Tamandua tetradactyla: one gene and its partners. The protein of the gene in region 1 interacts with the protein of each later gene in a pairwise test. Links are inferred from orthologs where the notes say so. Each region holds a gene or a part of one and is shown in the gene's direction. Other genes may lie near its edges. The genes, in order: CBY2, CEP44, LMO1 and METTL17.

Region 1 (7,817 bases):
ATCTAAATCAAACCTCACCACAACCCTACAATGTAAGAACTGTCAAGCCCAGCCTATTACAAAAGAAACCGAGGCTTAGTGAGGATCACACAACTAACAGAGGAGAGAAAGAGGATTCTACCCTAGGTGCTCTGACTTAGAGTCCGTGCTTTTACAATTACCCCTGCAATGGTGGCCAGCTGTGGAGGTGAATGTTTCTGTTGACATGGTAAGTTTAAGAGATTGTCCTTCCTCAGGGCAGTGCAAGTCCAGTCTTAGACCCACTTTTTGGAGAACTGAACTCATTATAACTCACTGAGGACTTTTCTTACTTCTTGAAGAATACTTTAGTCAATTTATTAGGTACTATTCAGAGGTCACAAATTATTTGGTAAGCATTCCATTATCATTAAAGAGCTTCTAATGGACAATTAATTTAGGGGATTACACACTTAACTAATTTGATGACTTTTAATTTTGGTTAGAGTAAAATGTACAGAGTCGCATAAATCATGATTACAGCTGTCTTAATAAACAAAGCCTTCAATTTTGGCCCTGTCAGTCTAGAGTGGAGTGGAGTAGAGCTGTGCCTGCCTCTTCATTTGTGAGTGTCCATTTCCAGGGCTTTTGGTGTGCCCTCCCATGACCAATATTCATTTCAGAGGGAGACAGTTACCAAGACGTCCCCAGTTACCTCACTTGAATTTTTCCAAAATGAAAGAACATGTCTTAGAAGACTGAAAGTCTTCTCCATCGGAAGTCTTTTGATTGCACTTTACTCTTGGCTTAAGTGAGTAAATTAAATAATATTTAGAAAATGTCAAGACTTTGGGGAAATTTCTGTTTGTTTCTAGAGTCAAGAATGAAAGTTCTGTAATCGCACAAAGTTCTAGAGCCCCCAGGTTTGGATGTTTCTCAGTGGAGCCCATCCTGTGCATAGCCTCTTCTCTGACTTCACCAAGACTTACTCTCCTGGCTGAATCTGAACTGGGAGTACCAACTATTCCACTTGCCAGTGTCATCCACCTCCAGTGGTTATTTTGATAATTCTGTGAATGTGAGTGTTTCTTTTATAACAACTGTTCATCTCACATAGTCACCCCTTGACAGCTGTCATCCTATTTTCCTACTTCCTTCCACTCCCAGACTTTTCCAATAGGTGATCTTTATTTGTTGCCCCACAGGCTTTCCAACTCTTTCAATGGACTCCCTGGCTGCTGCCTTCTGTATCAAAAGAAGATAAGGGGTGTTGGCCTTTTCTGGGAGCAGTTTTGCCCAAGTTCTCACTCTACTTGGGCTGCTTCTCCAGCTCCAGATGACACCTAGCTTCTGTCCTACATAGCAAAAATAAATTTTCCTAATCACTTCCTGCAATTTGGAGGTTGTAAGCATCATGATATTTACAATGCCCCCTTTCCTTCCCTACTTTCACAACTGAAAAGGAAAGAAAGGTTAAAATGGAAACCCCATGCACGCCTTGGAATCCAGTTCCAAGAGCTTTTATTCCTTTATCCCTCTGGGGAAGGGCAGAGGTCCCACCCTCTTTAACAGACCCTCCTGCTGGCTGTATTTCCTTGTGTGGTTCATCTTCAGAAAGTCACAGGCTAGGGAAGTCTGGAGAGTCTCGGATGCCTGCCTGCCCTTTCCTCTTGCTGCCTAACCTGTCTGTTTAGATTAAAACCCCACAAGTCATGTCTACCTCCATGCCCTGCTTAGCGGCCAATTGTGGTTGTTCACTGAACGTGGATGATTGATGACCATGTTAATCTGAGTAATAGCAGGCATTTTTGGGCACCATCTGAAGGAAGCTTCTGAGCACTAGGTTATGGATGCTTGTGTCCTGCAGAAGAGGAAGGAACCCAGCTAATGTGCAACTGGAGATGCTGGTTGCAGGTTGGCCCAACTGAAATGCTCCTCCTGTTAAAAACTAAATACAATTGAATCAACCAAACAAACAAGATGCCACACAAGCTGCAGGGTTATGCCTTTAAAAAAATGTTTTTGTTTAATTAGAGAGGTTGTAGGTGTACATAAAAATCATGCATAGAATAACAGGGTTCCCACAGATCACCCTATTATTAACACGTTGCATTAGTACCTTTGTTACAATCATGAAAAAACATTTTTATCAATATTTTTTTTTTTTTTTTTTTTTTTTTTTTTTTTTAAAGGAAAGACAGAGAGAAGGAAGGAAGGATAGAAGGAAGGAAGGAAGGTAGAAAGGGAAACATCTTTAAACATTTTCTTGTTTTATTGTATTTTGTTTTTCCGTTTTTTGTTACATGGGCTGGGGCCGGGAATCGAACCGAGGTCCTCCGGCATAGCAGGCAAGCACTTTGCCCGCTGAGCCACCGCGGCCCGCCCTTTTATCAATATTTTTATAATTGTAATAATAACTAGTTCATCATTTACAATAGGATTCACTGACTGTATTGTACAGTCTTATGGATTTTTAAAAAATTTTTGTTCTAATAACATGTATACAAACCTAAAACTTTTCCTTGAACCGTATTCACATACATAATTCAGTGCTGCTAATTATGTTCACACTGCTGTGCTTCCATTACCACCATCCATTACCCAGACTTTACTATCAACCCAAATAAAACTCCCTGCGATTTAAGCATTGACTTTTCACACCTTTTAACAGCAACACCAATTGTATATTAGCTGACTGAAATTTTTGAGTCAAAGGGAGCAAGGCAATGAGCTATGTGAGGGCAACAAAACATTCTTTATGGAGAACATACTATGTGCCTGGAACCTTATGCTTAAATGTAACCTCCCCATTTTAAAGATGAGGAAACTGAAGCTTCTAATAGGCCATGGACCTTACCCATGTCACCCAGTAAGTAACTGTTTATTGGGCCCCAGATTTGCATGATGCCGGCATCCAGACCTTTCTACCTGGAGCCTCATTTATTCTTTTAGGTTCAGTAAGAAGAGCTCTTTCCATGTCGTTGTGTGTTGAATTGTGGCCCTCCCCTCAAAGATAGATCTTTGCAAAAGGGTCATTGCAGATGCAGTTAAGTGAAGGATCTCAAGATTATCCTGGGTTAGGGTGGGCCCTAAGTCCAATGCAAGTGTCCTTAGAGGGGCAAAAAGGGGAGAAGATGCAAGAGAAGGAGATGGGAAGACTGAGGCGGAGTTTGCTCTACGAGCCAAGGAACACCAAGGATCATTGGCAGCCACCGGAAGCATCCAGGAAGAACTCACCCTGATCTCCAGAATTGTGAGAGAGCAAATTTTTGTAGTTTAAAGCCATCTTGTTGTGGTACACCCCCATACCTGAGAAACTGCTCTGGGTAGGACAGCCCTGGGACTCTAAATCACAGCTAAGGAAACAGGGCAGTTTGTGGATACATTCCCATTCTTTCCTTTAGCAATGCCCCTTCCCAAGACAGGTTGGGGATGGCCTTTGACAAAACTGGAGAGGGAGCCAAAGTTTCATCCTGAGGGTCTTCATCACCCATAGATATGGTGGGGCAGCGCGTTTCATTGTGGGACGTGAAAGGATCTGGCACTATCCCTTCACCCAGAATCAGGCTTTAGGCAGAAAAAGGCAAAGGACCATGGCAGAGGGGAGGAAGGTGGGAGACCACAAAGAGCAGGGCCTGCCGAAAAACATGACCCCTTGACCACACAGCCCCATGAGGATCTCTGGGCACTGGTGACATCACATTGCCCTTGGGTCTGCATTCTTTTTAATAAACTTTTTATTTTGAAATAATTTCAGGCTTATAGGATAGTTGCAAAAATAATGCAAAATCCAAACAGAGAATTCCAGCGTACCCTTTACTCAGATACCCAGATCCAACAATTTTGAACATTTTGCCACATTTTTTGTATCATTCTATCTACCCCCTCCATCTTTTCATCTGTTTTCTAAATATTTGAGAGTAGATTGTATACATCATACTCCTTGAATACCAAACACATCCCTGTATCTTTCTAAGAACAAGAGAAACTAAAGAGACAAAAACAACTAAATGCACTATGTCACCTGGACTGGATCTAACATGGAGGATAAAAGGCCCAAAAGGGCATTATTGGGACATATGAAAAACTTGGAATATAGACTATAACTTTATATCAGTGCCACATTTCCTGATTTTTATAGCTCCACTTAAGGTGGATACATAGGTGAATATTCTTGTTCTGGCTTCTCTGCTTTTAATGTATATTGTGAAAATATGTATACAGCTGAAATGTGTTTTTAGGCAATCTGACAGTGAACTGCTTAAAAGAACCCAAGACAAGTTTCCTTGCAAAATGAGTAAAGTTTGACAATGCAATTGATTACCCTCTGGATTTTACCATAAGTATATTCTTTAATTTTTGCACATTGGATTTTCTTAAAAAAAACTTGCTTGTGATGGGGTGTGGGAAACTTCAGACAGCAGTTATAGTGTCTCTGGCCTTGCTGACCCTGACCCACCACTCTTTTTCCCTGAAAATTGCATAATAATGTGGAATCGGGACTCTCTGGCTAAGAAGAGATTATTCTTATGTTATAAGAATAATCAGGAGGGTTCCCACGAACAGATCCTAGAGAGGGGCAACTGATTTGACAGAACTGAGGTCAGAGGGTCTGAGCTGCCCTGTTCATGAAGCCCTAATACCAGCAGCGTGGCCGCGACTTGGTTTCTACATTTCCTTCCGTGATCCAGGCAGAGTTCACTTTGGGTTTCTTCCTTCTTAGTAACCCAACTCCGAGTAGAAGACACCCACCTCTAGAGAGAGGAAAGGGGTCTCAGCTCAGCCTGGCAGGGGATGTGAGTCACCCTGGCTGGGGTGACCAAACAGGGGGCTGGTGCTTGGGCTATTGTGTGTCACACTGACCGTGACCGGCCTGCAGACACAGCCAGGGCTGAGCTCTTCCTGCTGCTCAGATGCCTCACTGCCACCTGTGACGCTCACAGGAAACCATGAGCGCTGAAAAACACCGTATTGTTTTGTGATGTCACCTCTGGAATGTTCTGAGTGTTTTGGTGACCAACTTCTGCATAGGACCTATACCTGGCACCTCACGTTGGTATGGCTTTTATTCTTGAGATAGACATACTAATTTCAGACCAAGAAGTAGGCATAGTTCTCCCTGCTTCAAAGGTTTTTGGAACGCTTTTACATCTTAATTTCTGCTCAGAGATGGATAAAGCATCTTATCAGATATCATGCACACGTTCCTTCAGACTCAGATGTTCATAATGCAGATGACTGACAGCAGGGCAATAAATGAGCAGAAAGTCCTGTGCTTTTCAGGTTAACAACTGCTGCCCAGAGGATGGGCTGGGAAGCAGAAATCATTTTATTTTCTCTTTTCTATTAAGTCCAAATTTTACAAGACAAAGAGATCCCAGATCTGAAAGCCTAGAAATTCCAATCAGTGTGTTTCTACCTCAGGTAGAGATTATCACAGAAGGACGTAACCCGTCAGTTTTAGCCAGAATAGCTCTTCTCCTTCAAAACTCTAGCATGATGTTGTGGAACAAGCAGAGTAGTCAAGGTCTGAGGTTCTACTTCCAGGGCAGCTTCCAACCAGCTGTGTGCCTGGGAGAGGCCACTTAGCCACTCTGGACCTTGGGTTCATCTTCCTTCAAATGAGGGTGCTGGGAAGCCCATTAAGACCTTCTAGCACTAACATTTCCAGCTTCTCTTGTACTTTGAAATGACCCAACCTTCTCTAAATGAAATTTGTTGGTGTTTGCCATTGGGCCACCACTCTGATTTCTTGGGGTCAGATTTGAGACAGGTCTCAGAATCAAATCATATGAAGTCATCCATGAGAAGAAAATCTAGTACACACATCAAGGGGACCAGGTCATTTGGAGTTGTTAAGAAAATTAAGCTCTGTTACATACCCAAGACAGAGGGCTTAAGGGAGGTGGATGTGTTTTCCAGAGGGATTCAGAAGAGAGGCAGATCAGTTGGTCAAGTCCTGAAAGACCTGAGATGTCCAGGTCTCCATCTGCTAAGCAGCTGTTTCCTTGGTGGAGTCCTCTTGATTGGGCTGTTTCCACATGCTGCTATGTCACAAAGGTCAGCCTTGCATCTCCAGACTTACCTAAGACCCAGCTTGAAGACCATGTCTGTGCAGCCAGAGGGGCTGAAATGTAGGGTGGAAGAATCAAATGAAAAGGTAACTACCTGAATACTGTCAGGGAAGGTAGGAGAGGAAGATCCCACGGCCAATGGACGTCCTCACTTGTTTCTTTCTTAATGCTACCTCTTTCCTCAGAATTTTCAGAACAACACATTTAGAGAGAGAAACTTGCAGCATTGTTTCTGTAGATGGAGGTAATTGTAACAATTTACACATGTGTTCAGCAGGTGGGAAAAATGTAGAGCAAGAAAATATTCTGGATATTTCTTTTTACATGGGCCTTATCATTTTGTAATGAACATCCATTTCAGCTCATGAAGCTCAACTCTGGAATGTAACTTACTCTTGGTCACTGGCCAGGATGACTTACCAATAGTATTCCTACAAAGTGTGGGAATTTTGTTTTAGGGCTAATTCATTCCACTTGAAAGTCATGTGTAGTTCCTGCCTTGAATTCCTTTGGTTCTTTCAGTCCCAGTAAATCATTCAGCATTACTAAGGGATGGGTAGAGGGAGTGAGGGGGTGTGGGAATTGGATTTGAAAGCATTGTAGTGGTCATGTGATAATGAGATTGGGGAAAGGGCTCCAGTTTATTCTGGAGCTGCTCATCTCCTTGACTGCAGGACTTACAGAGAGGGCACAAGCCACGTTTCAGATACCTGCTGGGTGCTCTAGGCATGAGCTCTGGAGCAGGGGTGTGGGCAGCTGTATCTTCAAATCAATAGCAGCTTCTACCCCTGGGGCTGTGAGAGGGACCTGCATGCTCACTCTACCTCCCCAAAATACTTTGAGTGTTTGTTACAGAAAATGAGTTGGTGTCAGTTTTGGGCAAAAGGACTCATCTGGGAAACTAGATTGAGCACTAATCTGGTTACGTGATCACGGGGCCAGGCGGGTGGGAGGTAGATATTTTATTGGTGTGGGAACTGGAATTCCCAGGAATCCCAGGGAACCCCAGGGTTTGATCCCTCAGCCAGGTCCTGCTTCAGCCCTGAGATTCTACCCTTGCTTTTAGGAGACAGTACCTCCTCTTCTACCATTTTAACTGCTCCTACAGACTTCCACGCATACATCTGCGACTTGCTGCTCTACTCAAGAACTGAATGTGTTTGCTTTACTGGGAGGAAATGCTGCAGCAGTTCTGCTCATCCAGAAAGTGTGTCTGGCCTCCCAGCTCCTAATCATGCTGGGCGTTCAGCCTTCTCAATTACATTGCAAATGCCATTGAAGCATATTTGTTATCACCCTGAGGTCTTTTCAGGTCTTACCGATTTCCAGTTTTTCTTCCGCACGTTAAATATTTGTGTTTCCCTCCAGCACAGCAACTTGCAAGCCACTGCTGTTTTTTGCTGCCCGAGCTGGCTCACCTCTCAGTTCCTTGTGTACCTAACGATTCAGTTCTCGTGGGCATTCTCCACATTTCCCCAATGAGCCATATCTGTGAATTTCATTAGGGCTTTGTTTACTCCTAGATCATTAACGAAGGGGCTAGGCCAGATCAGAATGAGCTCCCACAGCACGCTGCAATGCCCCCTCATACCTCAGTGTCCCTTAGTTTGGGCTTGTTCTTGAGAAACTGTGGAAGCCCATTGAGAGTACTTGGAGCTCTGCCAAACTGAGTAATTGTTGCGATGAAGATTTTAGGTTCTGTGTCAAAACAGCTAGCCAAAGCTACCATGTGTGACATCTTCTTTATCCTCTTTACTGTTCGCGTTGTAGTTCTATTAACATCAG
Region 2 (7,321 bases), on another chromosome or scaffold:
ACCAATCTCTTGGTAATTGATTACATTTATACTGTGAAATGGGGAAAATGATTTTTTTAACCTACAGGAAAGCCCAGTGAAGACAGAAAATATGCCCATTAAACTGATCATATATATTAAATTATAACGCAAATTTTGGCTTATCTACAAGTTACGACCATACAATGTTTTGTAGAAAGAAGTATTTAAACTGTGTTATTTTCTGAATCATGTTTCAAGTTTTGCAGAAATACAAGCACCCAAAACTATACTGGGTAATTGGCTGTAACCTACTTTAAATCAATGTGTATTACCTGAGAGGAAGCCCAAATTTAAAAGTCAAATTTTAAACACACATCCAGGCTGGTGTCAACACATGAATTATCAGAAATAAACTTGAATAATACTTTATTTAATAGATAAGGGTTTATAACATCTTTCAAACAGTGAAGAAACAAGCAATTTTGCATTGAATCACAGTGAAAATAATGTAAACATGAACCCTGAAGGATGTAATGTTTATTTTAATAAGCTTATATGTTTAATTGACAAAAACTATGTTGGTCATGTGCATTCAGGGAATTCAGAAAGAGGTGATACCTGCCACCTAATAATGTTTAAAAAGAGACATCCAAGACACATTTCTAGTCTAAGACACTCTTCCCTCCACTATTTTATCTCATGACATAAAAGGCTGCCACTGATCTGCATCCTTTCAACTCTTACCTCCAACTCTTTCTTAACTTCTTTCCCCATTAAATGCTACCTTTGCTCATGCGTACTTTGACCTAAATTCAACCATATAAAATGGCAGTAAGGAACACAAATTCTCCAACTGTGAATTGCTCTGCTCATGTGGGCCAAAAAACCCCACACATTCCTCTCACTCACATCATATCCCAAGTACAGTTTCCTAAGAAAAACAGGAAGTGTGCCTCTCTCAAGATAAGTAACAGGAAAAAAAGAAAAAGAAAAAAGGCTTTTTTTTTTTAAAGAGAGATAACGCTAATCAAGTTTATCTTACTTATTTACTTATAATCTGGCATTTCTCCTTGTCTGTCTGCTGTCTTTAGGACACATTTTTGCTAAATTAATCCTGTCTATTTATTCCTAAAAATGATCAACCAGAGTATCTATGTTAGGCCTCTAAGATGGTCCCCAACTATACCTGCCTCCTTAAATTCATGTCCTCGTGTAATCCCCTCTCCTTGATTTTGGGTTGGATTTATTGACTTATTTCTAATAAACACAATAGGGCAGTAGTGATAGGATATCAATTCTGAGATTAGGTCCTAAACAACTGTGGCTTCTTGGGTGCTCATTCCTGGACAGCCTATCTCAGGGGAAGTCAGCTGCCATATGGAGAGGCAGCCCCTGCAGAGGTACACAGAAAATGGGACCAAGGGCCATCAACAATCACATGACTGTACTTGGAAGTGGATACTCCTATCCCTCTGTTGAGCCTTCAGATGAAATCACAGCCCCTACCTATAGTTTGACCACAACCTCATGAGAGAGCTTGAGCCAGAGATACTTTGCCAAGTTGTGCCCAAATTTCTGACCCACAGGAAGTGTGAGATGATAAATGTTTGCTGTCGTAAGGTGCTATATTTTGGGATAATTTGTTACACTGCAATAACTAAAACAGCATCTTAGACAAATTTTCAGAAGGATAACAATGGGAAGTTTCCTACTCAGCCTGACAAACAACAAAATTTTTTCTTTATTCTGACACCCGCTTTTATCATATAGCATTTTCTTAGGTGAAAGAACAATAACAACCAAAAACCTCCTGATTCAGAAATATGATTACCAAACTCATCAAAATTAGGAGAAGGAAAGCTGAAATAAAAATAGAAATTGGGGAAAAACCAATAAGCAAATTTATCTGGAAGGGCAGGGTGCCCCGAATTGCTAAAAACATCTTGAGGAAAAAAAACGAAGCTGGAGGTCTCGCGCTGCCTGACTTTAAGGCATATTATGAAGCCACAGTGGTCAAAACAGCATGGTATTGGCATAAAGATAGATATATCGACCAATGGAATCGAATAGAGTGCTCAGATATAGACCCTCTCATCTATGGACATTTGATCTTTGATAAGGCAGTCAAGCCAACTCACCTGGGACAGAGCAGTCTCTTCAATAAATGGTGCCTAGAGAACTGGATATCCATATGCAAAAGAATGAAAGAAGACCCATCTCTCACACCCTATACAAAAGTTAACTCAAAATGGATCAAAGATCTAAACATTAGGTCTAAGACCATAAAACAGTTAGAGGAAAATGTTGGGAGATATCTTATGGATCTTACAACTGGAGGCGGTTTTATGGACCTTAAACCTAAAGCAAGAGCACTGAAGAAGGAAATAAATAAATGGGAGCTCCTCAAAATTAAACACTTTTGTGCATCAAAGAACTTCATCAAGAAAGTAGAAAGACAGCCTTCACAATGGGAGACAATATTTGGAAATGATATATCAGATAAAGGTCTAGTATCCAGAATTTATAAAGAGATTGTTCATCTCAACAACAAAAAGACAGCCAACCCAATTACAAAATGGGAAAAAGACTTGAACAGACACCTCTCAGAAGAGGAAATACGGATGGCCAAGAGGCACATGAAGAGATGCTCAATGTCCCTGGCCATTAGAGAAATGCAAATCAAAACCACAATGAGATATCATCTCACACCCACCAGAATGGCCATTATCAACAAAACGGAAAATGACAAGTGCTGGAGAGGATGCGGAGAAAGAGGCACACTTATCCACTGTTGGTGGGAATGTCAAAGGGTGCAACCACTGTGGAAGGCAGTTTGGCGGTTCCTCAAAAAGCTGAATATAGAATTGCCATACGACCCAGCAATACCATTGCTAGGTATCTACTCAAAGGACTTAAGGGCAAAGACACAAACGGACATTTGCACACCAATGTTTATAGCAGCATTATTTACAATTGCAAAGAGATGGAAACAGCCAAAATCTCCATCAACAGAAGAGTGGCTAAACAAACTGTGGTATATACATACGATGGAATATTATGCAGCTTTAAGACAAGAGAAACTTATGAACCATGTAATAACATGGATGGACCTAGAGAATATTATGCTGAGTGAATCCAGCCAAAAACTAAAGGACAAATACTGTATGGTCCCACTGATGTGAACGGACATTCGAGAATAAACTTGAAATATGTCATTGGTAACAGAGTTCAGCAGGAGTTAGAAACAGGGTAAGACAATGGGTAATTGAAGCTGAAGGGATACAGACTGTGCAACAGGACTAGATACAAAAACTCAAAAATGGACAGCACAATAATACGTAATTGTAAAGTAATCATGTTAAAACACTGAATGAAGCTGCATCTGAGCTATAGGTTTTTGTTTTGTTTTGTTTTGTTTTGTTTTGATTTTACTATTATTACTTTTATTTTTTTCTCTATATTAACATTCTATATCTTTTTCGGTTATGTTGCTAGTTCTTCTAAACCAATGCAAATGTACTAAGAAATGATGATCATGCATCTATGTGATGATGTTAAGAATTAATGATTGCATGTGTAGAATGGTATGATCTCTAAATGTTGGGTTAATTTCTTTTTTTCCGTTAATTAAAAAAAAAAAAAAAGAGAAGGGATAAAAAAAAAAAAATAGAAATTGGGTTCACTTTGTAGTAATATAGGTCACGATATATTCATTCATTCAGGAGAAACACCTAAGATCCCTGAATTTAAAAACTGCACTTGTAAGACAAGTAGACACAACATGTTGCTACATATATGAAAACTTAAAAATGAAACAAAAAAATTAAATGACCGAGGAATAGGATTCATCTATGTAATTTCGTCCAGTGAATATTTACTGAGCACCAACTATGTAAGAGATTAAACCCCAATCACAAAATAGCAAATAAAGAGGGAAAATTAAGTTTCCAAACATTTGTAACCAAAGTTTGGCGGCTGAAGCAACTGGCAATCTCGTTGTGGCCCTAACTGTATGTTTGCATTCATATGTACTCGAAAGTATGTAAAGAACCAAAAAACTGTGGTTGTTAACCAAAACAACATTCTAACACCCGAAAAGTAACACTTGGGCCGGAAGAGAGTCCTCGACGTTTCTCGGCTTTATTTCAGGATGACGCCTGGTCACCACCTGGGGTCCCAAGCTCACCCACACCCCAACTGGCCTCGAAACAAGGCACACCCCTCCCGCCTCCTGGCAGTGATTCCTCACTTTAATAAGCCATCACTGCTGTCACTCAAGATGCTTTGCACTACCATTGGTCCCAAACTCTTACTGGTCGGCAAGTTTCTGCCAACTGGCAAGCACTGACTGCCTTTATTTTCGAGAAGAAAGGTGCACGGGGAAACGAGGCAAGAGAACTTGACGTCTGTGGGCTGACGCTTGTACCTGAGTGACCCGCGATCCCCACCGCCGCCGCGACGACTCGGCCTCTGGGCGGGGGCTTGTAGCCTGAAGGGAAAGGGCTCAGCCGGGAACTGGTGCCCAGGCCATGGAGACGCCGGCTCAGAGTTTACTTGCCCACGCCGGTGGAGGCGACGGCTGGGAGAGGACCAGAGACAGCCTAGATCCCTCCGAACTCCGGGTACCTCAAGCTGCAGCAGCCCGAGCTGCGGACTGGCGGAGTTTTGACGTTTCCTATTGTTGCCGGAAGTGACGTGTCGGGCTCGGGCCCTTAAAGAAGAAGCATTTTTATCCCCGCCGGGTACGATTCGCTATAGATTCCTTGTGTCTCAGTCGGCAGCCCGAGCCTCTCTGCCGACCATCTAAAATGATACCGACTTCTCCACTGCACCTTGTGAAGGGCGGAGCCATTGCGAAGGTTCTCAGCCGAGTCCCTGCCCGGAGGGGTGTGGGCAAACCGGCTGTGGAATCTGCAGCGAGGTATCCGAACGCGCGGAGCAGCTGCAGCGCCGCAGGGCTGGCGGCGGGTCGCGGCGCGCTTCGAGCGGTCGGTCCGGATCCAAACGGTCGGCGCGAAGAGCGCGCCTGGGTGCGGCGCCGGGCCGCTGGGACGCGTCGCTGGAGGCCGGGCCGGGGTTTCGTCGCCGTCTCCACGTGCTCCCTCCCTCTCTCCGGGAGGTGCGGGGCCGGAGGCCGGCGAAGCCCTCTTCCATGCTCGCGGCTGCTCGGGGAGCCCGGGGGGCCGGCGAGGCTGCGCCCTAGTCGGACACAGGTCGCCTCTCTCGCGTTCTCTTTCCGAGGCCCCAGGCGGGGACGCACGACCAGGTCTGCCTTTTCATCCTTTTCCGTCGGGCGGAGGGAGGGGAGCCCTAGATGTGCCTTGTCCCCACCAGACGACGCGGCAAGACTCGTGCCGGCTCGCCCTCGGCTCGCCCTCGGCTCGCCCTCCCCGCTTAGGTTGTGACTTCAGGGCTGGCGGGTTGTCGCCTGACTGGTTCCTCCCGTCGGATCATCGGAGTCCAGGGGCGATGTGGCTTTTCGCAAATACTGCCCATAAGGAAGAGGAAGGAGCGCAGTCTGCTTTCCTTCCTTGCATTTCCCTGGTGTTTCGACTATTTGTTCACCTTCCTAGAGGACTGCAGATTTTCCCCTACCATGGAAAGTTAATTAATCCTTTTTTAAAATTCTGGAATCATGGCTGTAGTATGCAATTTTTCTAAAATCAGCCCCAAAACTTTTAACAGCTCTGAAGACACCACTGCCCCAATGAGTTCTGTCTTGACCCTTACTCACATTGTTTCTTTCCAGTTTTCTTAATGTTTTCCCTTTCTCGCGCTTAGAACAGTATTTCCCTAATATATTTTAAGGGTTTCGTAAACTTAATTTTCCTCCTCTTTACCTCCCTATTTTTTCCTTTTTTTTATTAGAGACGTTGTAGGTTTACAAAAAAACCGTGCAGAAAATACAGAGTCCCCCTGTACTCCCCGGATTAATGGCATTAGTATGGTAGTCCATGTTGCAATTGATGAAATAATATAATTGTAACTGCAGTATTCACCACTATTAATAGTCCGTAGTTTACATTAGGGTTCGCTGTACTGTCTTACCCCTTCATTTTTATATCCAGTTTTTTAGGTATTATCCACCTTTATGGGTTATATCACAAGTCTTATTTACAGTGTAGTTGCATTCTAAAAAAAATCACTTTGAGCCCGGTGGCATTCATTTGGGAGGCATCATTTTCATGCCTTCTAAAAATAATGAGATTAAGCCAGGTTAAGAATCTTTAATCTGCTCTAGTATACCACTTGTCCTGCCTCACACTTAGGAAGTTCAGTGCAGCTCTGACTTGTAGGCAGACTTCTTTGGAGGAAGCTGGAAAGCAATTTTGAGATCTTGATTGAATCTAAGTTGAGTAATATCTCCTTTCTGCTTTTAATTTCTTTTGATAAGGGTTATGAAGTGAAAATATTAATTTTTAAAGTAAATTATTTTTCTTCTCTGAAAATAAAGTGTTAATTCTGGTGCTTTTCAGTTTTATGATAAATCTAGTCAAGCCATTCATGAAAATGTAGGCCAGTAGCTGTAATTTTTTTCCCCTTGCTTTTGGAGAACTGTTTTTTCCCCTATAATGCTCAGATATATTTAATCCTTTTGCCTTTTCTATCCTGTTTTGTCACTTATCTCTTTCACCTACAGATCCAAGCTGTACTTGGATCTTACTTTTCTTCAAAATATTTATTCTGCTGGTAATGCAAAGGATGTGTTCCAGGGACATACATTGTTGTCAGAAATTCCATTACCAGAGGTAGAAATAACATATGAGGCACTTAAATGTGTTCCAGGACATCAGAAAAAGGAAAAATGAAAAGTTACCATAAAAAGTTAAGCATAATTACATGTGCTGGAAAGATGGACTATATATCTTGAAGGATTAAAGGAAGTCTGAAAGAGATATAATTTATCTTAAAGTTATAGAATGTTTTAGGGGAAAAAGGCACCCTTAAATGAATTACGTTAGGACAGATGGCTCTGGAAAACAAACTCAGACCTACTATATTGGCCGGTGGCAACACCCATTAGTAGGTTTCAACCAGATTAGTGTCCCAGTAAAGGAAAGGTTGGTCTTGGGAGATTTAATTGTTCATCAACTCCAGTCATCTTTCAAGATGTTAAATAGTACCTTCTTTGCTAGTATTTTGTTTATAGTGTGAATGCAGGATCACTTCTTTGTTAGTTATCTCCTGTCTGATTATATCTGAAATTTCCATGACTAATGTTCTATGCATGAGTGTATAGAAGTAATTTAAATAATATTTTTATTGTTTTGATGAGGAGGAAACTAGAAGCAGGAAGATTCTGCATTTCTAAAGAGAGGGAACACTGGTCATTCTACCATGAGGAAAAGAGTTGAGAAAT
Region 3 (6,913 bases), on another chromosome or scaffold:
GGATTAGGAAGTCTCGCCGGCCACCTGGAGCCCGCACCCCAGCACGTTCCCGGCCAGGAACTTTCTCACTGCTCCTACCGCCTTGCGGACCCCGGGAGCGCCTCTCCCGCGAGCGCCGCGAACTCCCAGGCAGCAGCCGCTGCCGACCAACCTGAAAGTGAGGGTCCAGCCAGACCAGTGTCATCCTGGGGTCCCTGTCCAGTGTCAGTCCTGGGGCTGAGGGATGGGTGACAATGCCGATGCCCCTGGCAGGACTGGAGAAGGTGGTCAGTTCACCGGGGTCCAGCCACGTAGGGAGGTGGCACCTTGGCCACAGTATGTGGATGGGCCATATATAGTCCAAAATATCAGGTTCAACCAAAGGTGGATCTACCTGGAAGCTAGTGAAGTTTTAGCTTCGGGGTCCTTTAGTCCATCCCTGGTAGTAATATTGTATTAGCATTAGTAATCTCATTAGAAATCTCACCCTCCTTTTCTTAAAGAGGGTGCTGCAAAATATATGTTTGGGGCCTCACAAAATCTGGGTCCACCCCTAGGCCCAACTCAGGTCCTCCCCATTCCAATTGCTGATCTCCCAAGATAAGTCATAGCCTGGCTGGGGGGTGGGCAGTCCCCAGGGGTTAAAGCAGCCCATTAATGCCTGGAGAATGAAGCTGCTGGGGCAAGAGACTGGAATATTTGGGGCTGAGGCAGCTATTGGTCTTCAGGGAAAGGATCTGGCTGCCTGGCCTTCCTCTCTGGCTCCATTAGTCTCTATGGTGCTCGACTGTCCTGGTTTGTCCGGAACCGTCCCAGTTTTAGCACTGAAAGTCTTGTATCCTGCACCGTTCAGTCCCAGGGCAAACCTGAACAGTTGCTCACCCTACATGCACAGTATTTTCAGGGCTGGTGTGTGAAGCTAGCTTGGCTTTCATCAAAGGGCTGAGGTAGTCTTCTTTTCTGGGGTGCAGATTTGGCCCAGGCCTCACAAGGCCTAACAATTTGCGGCTGCAGTTTCTGAGAAGGCCTCCTCTCCAGGACTCCCCAGAAACCAAGAGGGAACGTTTACCAACTATGCATTTCTTCACTTTAGCTAGTTGTAAAATTCCCGTGCATTGTCTGCTTTGGTGTGAGTAGGGAGGAACTTGGCCAGGATCTATCTTGATTGCATTGTAAAGTTTGTAGGATTGCTCACTCCTGTCAGCTGTGGTGGCCATGGGGAATGGGCACGTCACCCCAACTCCCTCTCTGAACGTTACCTCTATGGCCGGCTGGTAACCTCAGCTTGTAGACAGCTATACTGTGTTGAGTGCAGGGCCCTCAGGCTGAGATACATCTGACACTCTCCAAGGCAGTTCTGGAATATTTGGTCTGCCCGGGGCCTCAGGCCCTGGGTCCCACTCTTCCCACCTCTCCACTTTCTATGCAGGAACACTTCCTCAGGACTTTGCTGCTGTGTGCAGCCAGAAACTGCTGGGACCTACCCAGAACTTTTGTAAGGCCAGACATTAGCTCCCCTTTCTTCCCACTGTTTCCTTGAGGGCTGATCAGCTGACCTTCCCTGATGACCCTAGAGGCATTTCAAGGGTGTTTTGGAACATTCTTGGCAGGTGGAAGCAAGAATACAGAGTACGTACTTATCACCTGTGGAATGTGTTGGGAGCAGCCCCAGGGAAGCCAAGGATTCTTCCCTGGTGTTGTGGGTGTGTCTCAGGACATGGAAGTAGCTTGGGTGAGGGTGAGCATGCGGTGGGTGGTTACCTGCCTGCGCAGCAGCTACCCAGGAGCTGTAGGGAAGCCACCAGATGAGTGTGGCTTATGTCTGGCTCTGTCAACCCAATAGGCCCCTTCCTGGCTGGGAGCTCAAGTCATCCAAACTCTCTGGGGCGCACCAGGCAGCTCCATAAACCAGCTGTGGACCCCCGCTCCAGATCAGTTTGGGAACTTCATGCTTACAGCCCGTGGGTGGTGGTGCAGAGAGACACCTGTGGGCACTGGGAGCCTTCACAGCCCCATTCCCATGCTGATACACCTTACCTGCTTCTGCAGCTCACTGCTGAGCATTCCAGGCCTGCTTCAGGTCCAGGGCTTGGCAGTGAAAGGGGCCCTGACTCCCCAAGGGTATACAGGCTGCATAGCTGATAACTGGTTCCTTGGAGACTGGTGGGAGCTGGCATTGGGATGAAGATTCCCAGGCACAGCATATGGACAAGAGAGTGGGAAGCCAGCCTGGTTTGTGGGTCTGGGCCAGACCCTGAAAGTGAGAAGAAGTGGCCCATGGTGGTTAGGAGTAAGGATGCAGCCCTTGTGGAATGAGTGCCTCTGGGTAGCATGGGGGGTTCTGCACAAGAAGCTGCCCCTTTCCAATCTCTCAGGCCCTGTGCCTGTTACACTGCCTGGCCCCCAGCTCAGGCTAGGTGACCAGCTGGCACTAACTATGCCACTGGCAGTGGTGGCCCAATGGCAGTGCCATAGCCTTCCTTAGACCCTCAGGGTACTACTCCAGCTGCAGTGGCAGGGGAGAGATCAAGCCCATAGTCCTGAGGATTGGCAAGTCTGTGCAAAATGATATATTTAACATCAAATGTACTCAAGGACAATTAGGATTAAGTAAGTATTCAAGATGAAGGAGAAAATGTAACCTTCTGAGCTGCGGATAAGGCATCTCATTAGAAGCAGCCTCTCTTCTGTTTCCTCAAAGCTGACTTCCCTGGGTAGGAGAGGGGAGGGTGGGCTGCAGCACCCCACTCCTCTTCTGTCAAACACACCCTGAATTGGGGCCTTCCAGAGTTTCAGGGGCAAGGCCTGGCCTCCAGGTCTCCTTTGTACCTGATAATACCCCCCATTGTCTAGGGTGCCACAGTTTACAAAACTCATTCATATTAATCATCTCTTCTGATCCCCACAGCAACCTTGGAGACAGGAAGAGCAAATCCTCACAAACAGGGAAACTGAGGCCCAGAGAGAGAGTTAATTGTCAAGGTCCACCATTGGTAATTGGCAGGGATGGGATGAGATCCCAACTGGTGGCCCTTCACCCCTCCAGGGACTTCCACTTTCTTCTCCTTGCCTGAGTCTAGGCCCAGAAGTGACTGCCAGGACCCAGCCTCCAACACAGCTGTCTAGATCCCACGTTGGGCTGGAGAAAAATTACAATTTCCATCCCACCCTGGAACTCTTTACCGACAGGGGAAAAAAAAACCACTCTTGAGATTTGAATATGGGTGGCCTTCCTGGAGTAGGCAGCCTGGGCACCAGTCCCAGGGCCCTGGAGAGAAGCAGGATCTAGGAGCAGAACAGATGAACGCTGTCTCTCCTCCTGTCCACTGAGTTGCAGAACAAGACTTGTCAACTCTGTAATAGCAGCAGGATTCTTTGTTTGTTTGTTTGTTTTTCACTGCTTTATTTCGAATGCCTAGAACAGTGCTTGACACATAATACAAACTCAACAAATATTTGTGAAATGAGAAAGCCCGAAGGCATGTACGCTCTGGGGCTGCTTGCTCAGATGTTCAACAGGCTGCCCCAATGGTGAGCTGCTGGAGTCAGAGGTGGTGCTGGGCAGGCTCCGGGTAGGAGGGTCCTCTCCTGCAGTGGGTTAGCTTTGTGGAGCAATCTGGGAAGTAGAAACCCCGAGCAGAGCAGATAGGAAGGGAGGGTTAAGAGGCAGAGGCAGAGCGCCTGGGTGAGGAGGGCGCCCTATTGCTGAGGGCCTGGGAGCAACAGACCCGATTCTTCAACCCGACAAACATCCGAGGCCTCGCCGGCACCCGGCAACTTGAGCGCATCCCGCGCCGAGTGAGAGCTGAGTGGCCTCGAGGTGGCGCTGCGGAGCTGGGTAGCCGCGCGTCTCCACTCCCCATTAACCCGGGAGGGAGGGGGTCCTCGAGAAATGTGTGCATTTATTCAGTAGCAGGAGTGCAAACCTCATACATTGAGGGAGAAAGGCAGCGGGAGACGGCCGCCGAGATTCTCCCAGCTCTTTGAATATAATTTTAGATTGAGATTCAGATTAAATCCGAGGGGAAAACACTTTATGAGGCTGAAAGCTGTGTCGTTGCCAGAGCCAGGGTTATGAGCTATCAAATGCAATTACATTAAGACAGATTATATTGGGCAAATTGAGCCATTTAGAAGGTGAGAATCAAAGAAACGGCTCTGATCTTCTCTTCCCCCTTCTCTCTCCCTCTCCCTCTCTCTCTCTAAATTGCAGTTCGTAGTTCCTTGCAATTCTGAGGCACAAAAGTAGGTGAGACTGCTTTTGTAGCTGCGAAGTGCTTCACTCCTGAATGTAATTCTAGCTGAGTGCAATCTAGGTTAAGAGCCGGACAAGCGGGTAATTAGAGCCCGCTTGCTGCCGGAGGACCGGCCGCCCCACCGAAGCGCGCCCGGAGTCGGCGCCCTTCTCCCGGCCGAGCTGAGCTGCGGCTGGACACGGAGCGCCCGAGATGATGGTGCTGGACAAGGAGGACGGTAGGTGGCAGGCGGGGGTCCCGACGCCCGTAGCCCCCTGCCCCCGCCGCGGCTCTCTGAAAAAAAAAACACATGCCCAGGACACAGGCGTACGCATGTCGGGCAGTGCCCAGATCGCCTGGCGGGCGCGCGGCGGGCTGGGGTTGCGGGGCAGGGAGGCACTGGAGGCGGGGGCGGTTTGAGCGAGCCCCGGGCTGCGCGACCCTGGGCGTCCCGCGGCGCGTCCGACCGCGAGCGGACGAGGTGTGCGCCGGCCGGTGTGATGCTCGGCGGGGCCGCGTGGAGGCTCCCGGCTCCCCTCGGCTGTCGGCGCCGTAATGCTTTACTTAGAGCTGTGGGTCTTTGCGGCTGCTCCTCTCACCGCAGCCATAACCCTCGCGCCCGCCGCGTAACCCAAGAGGCGCTGAGCGCCTAGCAAATCAGCGGCCTCGGGGAGAATCGGACTTCCGAGCTTGGGGCCAGCGGGCGCGCGAGAGGACGGCGCTCGGCCCAGGATGCCTGGGAAGCAAGGGCAAGGCCGGCTGGGCCCTCCGGAAGACCGCTGTCCACTAGCGTGACTCGGTGAGGAGAGACCCCTCTCCGGCCGGCTGTCTCCCTGAGCTTGCCTTGCAGGCAGGAGTTCGGCCCAGACGAGGAAAGCGCCTCGCCACCGGCTAGTAGCGCTCTTGCGGGTGAAGCCCCGCGGGAGTGGCGTGGACTTGAATAGCCTCAGTGTCCCAGGGATCTGCGGTGCTGAGAGATCAGAGGGGCCCATGGCTGCTGGAAGCCACTAGCAGGTGGTTCCACGGATTCTAATGCCTTCGTGGCTAGGGGTGCCCTGCAGTGAGTGTCCTGGAACACTCAGGAGAGGTTGGGGATCCCAGCATTCTTAAGAGTTGAAGCCCTGTGGCCTAAGCTCAGCCTTGAGGTCAGGAGATTGACAGTTTCCTGGCTGCTACCCCAGACCCTCCTGACCTGGGGGTGAGGGTTGCTTGCTTTTTTTTTTTTTTTTTTTTTGGTGTTCCAGGAAGTTCTGTATGTAATCATTGGCACCGGCACTGCTGCCTGCATTCTGCCACGGGTAAGGAACTGAAAGGGTGGGTTTCATGTGAGTCAGTCTGATCTTCTACTGTGCCCTCTGCCCATGGGGGCAGTGGTATGGACACAGTCACTTGTTGAAATCTGGAAGTTAAGGGACTTGCTCAAGGTCACATAGGACCCTTTGCTGCTACTGCGTGCCGGAGCCCCCAGCCTACCTACCACCTCCTGAGGCATTCACAGAGTCTGGCCTGGGTGTGGATGTGGGCGAGCCCTGTGGCTGGTAAGCCCATGAAAGGCATTTCTCAGCACGTGTGCAGCCAGAGAGGAAGGGGTAGCTAGATGTTTTGAGGCTTTTAGCCAAAAGAATCCATGTGCCGGAGACTGGCTGGAGTGTGACGACCATCTTGTGTGTTCTCTATTCACGGAGCCCTCTGGGGAGACCCCAGCACTGCCTCCCAGGTGGGAGTAGGCCACCAGAGAACAGGGCTGATATAGTTTTTCGTGGAATGAAAAGAGGATAAAGGGGCCTGGGAACAGGTCAGATGGGGAGAAAGGGGGCCTTGATTCAGTTCCTTTTCATTTTCCATCCCCCTGTGTTATCTTAGACCAGTCACACCCACCTCAGGGCTTCATTTTTTTTCTCAATAAAATAAGGGGCTTGCAGAAGTCAGTGCAGAAGGTCCTTTCTTGATGTCTGGGAATCCTGTCACTGTGGAGAGATGTGGAAATTAAGATCTGTCTTTAGCTAGGGGTTATTCAGTATTCTTAGCTCCCCAGGCCTAAGGCAAGAATCCAGAAGACCAGAGCCCTTTACATGGGTGGTCTCAAGCGGGCAGATACATCTCATGCCAACAAGATGACCGCCGCTCCCCAGGTCTTGGAACTAACTGCATGTCCAGGCACCCCAAGGTGCTTCAGGCTCCATAATGTCAAGGGCTTCCAGATGAGCCTTGAGTGGGAATGGATTTCTGGAGGTCATTTTGGACAGTCTCCTGTATCCAAAGTACAGTTCACTTTAACCACCTTGGGTGTAAGTGTTTCCCCTTGTCTCTGTCCAGCCTAAACAATAGGGTGCCCTCTACCATTGATGCCACTGGGCTCTGGGACCCATTACAGCACAAGGTGGCAGGCAGCCGAGTCCCTGAGCAGCCTAGAGCTTGTCTCATCTTGTCCAGCCTAGAGCTGTCTTTCAAAAACAGCCTTTCTGCTCAGAAATTCATGCTCCACTTTCTGTTAACGTCTGGCCTCCCCCGGATGCAGGACATCTTCAGTTGAAGGTGGCACCTTCAACTGGGGGAGGAAGAGAGCTCTGGACCCATTTACGTTTACCTCCAAACCTGCTGCCTAACTTCTGAGCACTTGTGCTTTTTTAGCAGGCAGCCGCCCAGGCTGGGTGGCAGCTTTGGCCCCTAGGGCCCCCAAGGGGTGTGTCCTCTGGGCT
Region 4 (7,263 bases), on another chromosome or scaffold:
ACAGATTATGTTAATTTTAGTGTTAGATTCAGGATTAGGTTTTGTGTTAATGTAGGGAGAGCATTAATATTAGGTTGTTGGTTAGGGTTAGCCTTAGGCTAGGGTTAGGATTTGGATTATGCTTAGGGTGGGATTAAGATTGGTGTGAATGGGTGGGCCACAGTGGCTCAGCAGACAAGAATGCTTGCCTGCCATGCCAGAGGACCCGGGTTCGATTCCAGGTGCCTGCCCATGTAAAAAAATAAATAAATAAATAAATAACACCTAAAAAAAAAAAGATTGGTGTGAAACTTCAGGTTGGTTTGGGTTTGTTGTTGGTTTTTAGGATGTTGTAAGTTTAGGGGTAGTGTTAGTGTGAGGTTTCGTTGAGGTTTAAGTTAAGGATAGTGTTCTCTGAAGAAAGTACTTTCATTACAAAAAGTGCATGGAAGTGAATGGATCCATCAAGTCTCTAAGCCTTCAAAACAGTATTAGGTAAGGGATTTGCACAACAATTTTTGAGTTTTCTGTGAAAATGCTAGCTTTCATGCAAGACATACATCCAAATGAATAGAGCCAACGTGTCACTCAGTTCTCAAAACACATTCACAGACTTTTTACAAATAGAATTAGGGAGATTTGTTTGACAATGCTGTTTTACGCTAAAAATATGTGTGGATGTATGTGGACCAGTTACATTACTCAATTTCGGAAACAAATTATGTTAATGCTAGGCTCAGAGTTAGGGTTAGTGTCAGGGTTAGGTTAGGGTTAGGTTGTGGTTAGTGATAGGTTTAAGGTTGGGTTTGGTTGTAGGTTTGGGATAAGTTTAGGGTTGGGCTTAGTGTTGGTGTTGGATTTGAGATTAGGGTTGAGGTTAGGGCTGGTGTTAAGTTAGGAACTCAGGTTAGAGTTAGAAAGAGTTAGATTTAGGGTTTGAGTTAAGGTGAGGGTTGGGGTTTAAATTAGGTTTGTGTTGGTTTTTGGACTGGGTTTGGAGGTTGGGATTTGTCCTGGTATTGGTTCTTGGGGTTTCGGTTTGTGTTTGTGGTTGCATTAGTGTTATGTTTACGTTAAGTTAATTTGAGGGTTCTCTGAAATATTGCAGTTTTTTGTGAAAAATCTTATTCCAGTTAATGGGACCAGGACAATTCTAAGTTTTCAAAATAGGTTTAAGTACTGGTTCGCATAGCTGTAGTTGAGCGCTCTGCAGAAATGCTGTTTTTCACTGACAAAATTGCTTGGAATTAAATGAAGCTGGTAAGCCAACAAGCTCTCAAAACACGTTTACAAACTCTTCTCCTATTTTGCTAGGAAACATTACTTCGCAATGCAGTTTTCCATTAAAAATGCATGGAATGTGTGGAGACTTTATTATTACATGATTTTTGAACCAGATTATGTTAATGGTTAGTGTTAGACTCAGGTTTAGGTTTAGGGTTAATGTACGGATAGCATTAGTGCTAGGTTGTGGGTTAGAGTTAGGCTTAGGCTAGGGTTAGGATTTGGATTATGCTCAGGGTGGGATGAAGATTGGTGTGAAGCTTCGGGTTGGTTTGGGTTTGTTGTCAGTTTTGAGGTTGTTGTAGGTTTAGAGGTAGTGTTACTGTTAGGTTTAGGTTAGGTTTAGGTTAAGGGTAGTGTTCTTTGAAGAAAGAAACTTCAGTCCCAACAGTGCATGGAATTGAATGGATCCATTAAGTTTCATTGCTCTCAAAACAGTATTAGGTAAGGGATTTGCATAGCAATTGTTGAGATTTCTGTGTAAATGCTCATTTTTATGCAAGATATACACGAAAATGAATAGCCAGTGTGTCACTCAGTTCTCAAAACACATTCACTGAGTTTTTCAAATAGAATTAATGATAATTGTTTGACAATGCTGTTTTACACTAAAAATAGTATGGATATGTGGACCAAGTACATTACTCAGTTTCTGAAACAAATTATGTTAAGGCTAGGCTCAGTGTTAGGGTTAGGGTTGTGGTTAGGGTTAGGTTTAGGGTTGGGGTTAGGTGTAGGGTTGATGTAAAGGTTAGGGTTCGGTTTTAGGTCAGTGTTGGGGTTGCAATAGGGTTAGGTTTGGGGTTTCTGTTGGGGCTAGGTTTAGGGCTAGAGTAGGTTTAGTTTTAGGGTTAGCGTTAGGGTGAGGGTTTGGGTTGAAGTTAGGCTTGGGGTTGATTTGGGGACTGGGTTTGGAGGTTGGGATTTGTGCAGGTCTTGATTCTTTGGGGTTTCAGTTTGTGTTTGTGGTTGTTTTAGTGTTATGTATAAGTTAAGTTTAAGGTGAGGGTTCTCTGAAATATTGCAGTTTTAGTAAAAAAAAATCCTAAGCTAGTTAATGGAACCAGGACAATTCTAAGGTTTCAAAACGGGTTTAAGTAATGGTTCACATGGCTGTAGTTGAGTGCTCTGCAGAAATTCTCTTTTCACCCACAAAATTGTTTGAAATGAGTGGAGGTGGTAAGCCAATGAGCTCTCAAAACACATTTCCAAACTGTTCTTATATTTTACTAGGAAACATTACTTTGCGATGCTGTTTTCCATTAAAATGCTTGGAAATGTGTGGAGATATTATTATTACTTGATTTTAAAACAGATTATATCCATGTTAGTGTTAGGCTCAGTGTTAAGTTTAGGGTTCATATAGGAATAGCATTAGTGTTAGGTTGTGGGTTAGATTTAGGCTTAGACCTAGGGCTACGATTTGGATTATGCTTAGGGTGGGATTAAGATTGATGTGAAGTTTTGGGTTGGTTTGGATTTTTAGTTCATTTTGAGGTTGTTGTAGGTTTAGGGTTAGTGTTAGTGTTAGGTTTAGGTTAAGGATAGTGTTCTCTGAAGAAAGTACTTTCAGTCCAAAAAGTGCATGGAAGTGAATGCATTAAGTCTCTTAGCCCTCAAAACAGTTTTACGTAAGGGATTTGCATAGCAATTGTTGAGTTTTTGTGAAAATGCTAGCTTTCACACAAGACATACATCAAAATTGATGGAGCCAGTATGTCCTCTGTGACTGTAAAACCAGCTACTCTCTTTCTCCACTCATTTTTTTAAGGAACTTGTAGGCTCCAATGCAAATGACGAATTTGAGTCAGCCATTAATCAGTTCCAACCCTTCATATTTGTACATTGTACCGGGAATACTATGCTATTGAAACGGTAACTTTGCCTCCCTTCCTTTCAACTTGCACGTGTGTGTGTGTGTGTGTGTGTGTGTGTGTGTGCACATGCGCGCGTGTCTGCTGCACGGCAGGGTCACATAACATTCTTTTTCCATGAGTATACTTCTATTGCAGCACCATTCGTTGAATTTTGTTTGGTTGGTTTTTTGTTTGCTTATTTGTTTTTTTGGGAAGAAGTGCGTGAGACGGGAATCAATTCAGGTCACCCACATGGCAGGTGACAATTGTACTATTGAACTACCCTCGCACCCCGTCAGCTTGAACTTTTGAAATGTCTCCCTTTCTGCTTAGATTTGATTATCTGAAACTGTAACGACTTCATCTCCCCTTGCTAAAATCCATAAAAACCTTAAACCCCCCAAATTCCGGGAGACAGACGTTGGGCCACCAACCCATGTAATCTCTTGCTTGTGCCTAGCAAAATAAATTCTCTCTCTTTAAAACCCGGTGTCCTTTTTAATTAATAAAAAAAAAAAAGTAGAAAATTATGAATATATTATGTTTACTATGCTGAAGATACATAAACTGACCTAATGATTTGATGCAATTCTAATAAAAATCCCAAGAGGCTTTTTAAAAAAAAAAAAAAAAAAAAAAAAAAAAACCCGGTGTCTTAGGAATTGGTCATCTGAGCACTGAGACAAAAGAATCTGCTGTTTTTGTCACCGTGGGTCACCTAAATCTGGTATTTAAGGTCGTCTTCCCAGCACTGCATTTTACCCTTTTCACAACCGGAAAAAAAAAAAAAAAAGACAAACAAGACTCAGAATTCTCTAGACAAGCAGTACAGATTGCTAACACATCCACAAATGGTCTTAGCTTGTCACTGCCACGTTTCTAGGGACCCCCTCCAAAGGACCCGCGCCCGGACGCACCCTCCATTTCCAGACCCCGCAGCAAGATTCTACGCAACCTCGCTTCTGGCTGTTTTCGCAGGAATTGCGGCCCAAGTCCCGCCTACGCACGGTTTCCGCCCCAAGAATATCATTTATTGGCTACTAGCAAGCACTCGCTCTCCTCATTGGCTGATACTGTCCCAGGCCGTCGTTACACGGCGGATGATCACCTCGGAGATGTGAACCCGAGTGTCACAAGCATCTGCAGTTCCGTTTCCGGTTCGCCTCCGGAGCCATGGCGACAGCTAGTGGATTGAGGGTCCTGCCGACTTTAGGCGGATGGAGCCACGGCCTTGGAGTAGCTCGCCAGTCCCGGGTGAGCGCCTATTTTCCTTGCTCTCCAGAGACCCCGTATCTCTAGAGAACAGCTCCGCTCGGAGGAGGTGTGCTCTCGGCACCCCCTCCCTTTCTGAGTGCCCACAATCTTCCCTTCTACCCTGTAATGAGCTTTTCTTTTCTGCCTGCAGGCGCTTGCCGTCCTCGTGCCTTGCGTTACCCAGGTGGATAACAAGTCCGATTTTTTGGGAAACAGGCCCCATCGCCAGCACCCGGGCATTCTGCAGCTACCGCGTGTGAGCCTGCCCCAAGCGCTGAGTGATGCTGCGCAGTTACTGTTGCGCAGTGAGTAATGGGGGAAAGGGAGACCCGAGAAAAAGCAGGGATGAGGCCCCCTCTCATGATTGCACTTTTAATTTTTGACGCAAAGCGAACTCGGTACCAAATATGGAAAAGCAAGTACAAACGCTGACCAATCATCTCTGGAGCAGACATGTACCTGTGGAGCCAGAGGAGTTGCAAAGACGGGCAGCAGATCTTGAGAAGAAACTGGGAAACGCAGGTAGAATTTAAGAATGTTTAAAGAAGAGACCAAATAGAAATGTCAGTGGAAAGTGAAAAGCGAGAAAGTACAGTCTCTCAAATAGGTACTGCAGCTTCTTTTTTTTTATTTTCTTGCCAGAGCAGTCATTACAAGAAAGCCTTTCTAAGAGAAAATAGATTATTCCAGAAATTGACCTTGGAGTTTGGGTAAAAGTCAGAGGGTGCGGCAGTATTCTGTCAAAATCTAGATCTTTGCTTTTTTCCTGCAAGTCCACTGAACTAGGACCGTCTATGTGTTTATTCTGGTGAAATAAAGTCCCTGTATGGTTCCCTGTCTACTATGGAAACACTCCTAGGGATAGGAGAAGTATAATTCATCAAGTTATTGGCATGAATTCTTTCATATTACAGACCTTCTTTTTATTCTTCTTGTATTCCCTGCACTTCCCACAGTACCTGGCTGCAGGGAGGCACTCAGTACATACTTGCCAAATAATACTGAACTGAACACAATTGTGAGACTTAGGATTTTTCAGTCCGTTATCTCCCCATAGGAACATAGGAAACGTCACAGTCTTAAGTTTCAGGGAAGTGGGAAAATCCACAAAATACAATCCTTATCCTATTCTTTAAATCTTTATCACATTTCACTTTAATGTAGAACAGAAACTGTGGGATAGGGTTGGTTAAGTTGGATAAAGCACTATTAGAGACATAATACTATCTGATATACTATGGCTGTTGTTATTGTTGTTCTTACCTGGGATTTTTCTCTAGGTTTGACTTCTTTCTTAAGCTTGGAGCCTGTGGGGACAGGGGGTAGGGGAGAAATGTATTCAGCTATTGGATCTGAGCCCTGCTTTCCCCAGGTTGTCACCTGCAGTCCTTATTCTTGCCCCAGACTCATCCCAGGCAGAGGAGAAACTTCGTGGAGCTGTGCTACGTGCCCTGCGCAAAACTACCTACCACTGGCAAAAACTGAGGTGAGAGGGACGAAAAGCCTACAAAAGAGAGAAAAGTTCAACTCTAGAAGGAGAGTTGGGGAAGTATAATTACACAGTATAGTTTTTAAAAAAGTTACCTGGAAAATAAAATAAAATAGTAAAATAGCAATATAAATTAATTAAAAAGTTACCTGAATTGGGAGGTTCCCCAGGACCCTTGTGTGGAAGAGTGAAAAGGGTGAGCTGGAAGAGCCTTTTGCAAAGATATCATTTCCTAAAAATCTAGAAATTAACTGTGAGATAGAGGTTATTTTCCTAGTGAATGTTACTCTCTAATTCTTCTGGCAGCTACAATGAGAGACTGAGCCTGGTGTATATGGCAGCAAGACTGGATGGTGGCTTTGCAGCGGTCTCCAGGGCATTCCATGAGGTGAACGTTCCTCAGTTTCCAACCTGGTCCCTTTTACCATTAGTTTCCTCGTTCCTAATGTAGTGTTCTTGGGAAATGATTCTTGGGACATTTCATGTGCATTTTTTGTGTGTTTGTTTTTGAAGCTTTTATCATAGAAAAGATTTCTGTGACTCAAGAAAAGTTCACAACCACTGTTTTAGGAGCTTCTTGTTCTCTTAAGAATTTTTATTAAATCTCGAAAGACATTCACATCTTACTTCCTCTAACATGATCCCTACTTCATATCTACCAAGGCCCTAAATGAGTAGAGTGTTATTTATTTCTTCAGATCCGAACTCGAATCCCAGAGTTCCAGCCACAAACCTTGATGGATTTTGGTTCGGGTACTGGTTCTGTCACATGGTAAGTAACTTTCTTCAGCCCTGTTTCTGCTCATTTTAACTCTAGGGAGTCATACTTGTACCATTCGGATATCAAGGGACTGGGGAAGCAGAGGGAGAACAGAACAGTTGGAAATTAGAATGCTTCTTCCCTCAGGTTGGGCAAAGCAGAAGAAAATATGTAGACTGGGACAAAAGAAATGTCAAGTGAAAAAAAGCCCATGTTTTGAAAGATTAAAAGAAAGAAGATTAGTATAGATCATTATTCAACTATCAATCAATTTTTTTCTGTTTACAAATTGTTTTTTGAGTCTGCCTTTTTTTTAAGGAGTTGTAAATGAAATAAACTAACTATTAGTTTTTCTAACCTTTTTAGCATAGTACTCTGTTTCTCAGGGGTTGGGGTGAGGGTAGAGAAGTCTCTTGTAGGAAGAATACTTTGTCATGAGATTTGGTGATTTACATTTTGCTATCTTAGGGCTGCGCATAATACTTGGGGTCAGAGCCTACGTGAATATATGTGTGTGGACAGTTCTGCAGCCATGTTGGGTTTGGCAGAAAGGTTACTGAAAGGTAAGGACAAGATATAAGAAAGGACTCTTACAAAGTTGAGAAAGTTAAGAAATTAAAGGGGTACTATGAAGGGTGTTT

What was found.
Region 2: the proteins of CBY2 (region 1) and CEP44 interact in binary tests that used the Homo sapiens proteins (3 or more experiments, as listed by UniProt). The two-hybrid records come from large-scale screens. The link is inferred for Tamandua tetradactyla from reciprocal best matches to the Homo sapiens genes CBY2 and CEP44.
Region 3: the proteins of CBY2 (region 1) and LMO1 interact in binary tests that used the Homo sapiens proteins (3 or more experiments, as listed by UniProt). The two-hybrid records come from large-scale screens. The link is inferred for Tamandua tetradactyla from reciprocal best matches to the Homo sapiens genes CBY2 and LMO1.
Region 4: the proteins of CBY2 (region 1) and METTL17 interact in binary tests that used the Homo sapiens proteins (3 or more experiments, as listed by UniProt). The link is inferred for Tamandua tetradactyla from reciprocal best matches to the Homo sapiens genes CBY2 and METTL17.

The regions. Positions count from the first base shown.
Region 1 is NC_135330.1:112,977,064-112,984,880, reverse strand, and holds the start of CBY2 (protein chibby homolog 2), read left to right. Parts: upstream 1-4,812; 5' UTR 4,813-4,939; coding exon 4,940-5,014; intron 5,015-6,124; exon of another isoform or gene 6,125-6,270; coding exon of another isoform or gene 6,271-6,276; intron 6,277-7,817.
Region 2 is NC_135352.1:38,807,755-38,815,075, reverse strand, and holds the start of CEP44 (centrosomal protein of 44 kDa), read left to right. Parts: upstream 1-4,316; 5' UTR 4,317-4,703; exon of another isoform or gene 4,704-4,882; intron 4,883-4,932; exon of another isoform or gene 4,933-5,227; intron 5,228-7,321. UniProt on the Homo sapiens protein: Centriole-enriched microtubule-binding protein involved in centriole biogenesis. In collaboration with CEP295 and POC1B, is required for the centriole-to-centrosome conversion by ensuring the formation of bona fide centriole wall.
Region 3 is NC_135334.1:82,441,381-82,448,293, reverse strand, and holds the start of LMO1 (rhombotin-1), read left to right. Parts: upstream 1-3,903; 5' UTR 3,904-4,427; coding exon 4,428-4,452; intron 4,453-6,913. UniProt on the Homo sapiens protein: May be involved in gene regulation within neural lineage cells potentially by direct DNA binding or by binding to other transcription factors.
Region 4 is NC_135340.1:35,619,084-35,626,346, reverse strand, and holds the start of METTL17 (ribosome assembly protein METTL17, mitochondrial), read left to right. Parts: upstream 1-4,242; 5' UTR 4,243-4,292; coding exon 4,293-4,373; intron 4,374-4,524; coding exon 4,525-4,678; intron 4,679-4,763; coding exon 4,764-4,895; intron 4,896-5,777; coding exon 5,778-5,859; intron 5,860-6,168; coding exon 6,169-6,250; intron 6,251-6,560; coding exon 6,561-6,634; intron 6,635-7,090; coding exon 7,091-7,185; intron 7,186-7,263. UniProt on the Homo sapiens protein: Mitochondrial ribosome (mitoribosome) assembly factor. Binds at the interface of the head and body domains of the mitochondrial small ribosomal subunit (mt-SSU), occluding the mRNA channel and preventing compaction of the head domain towards the body.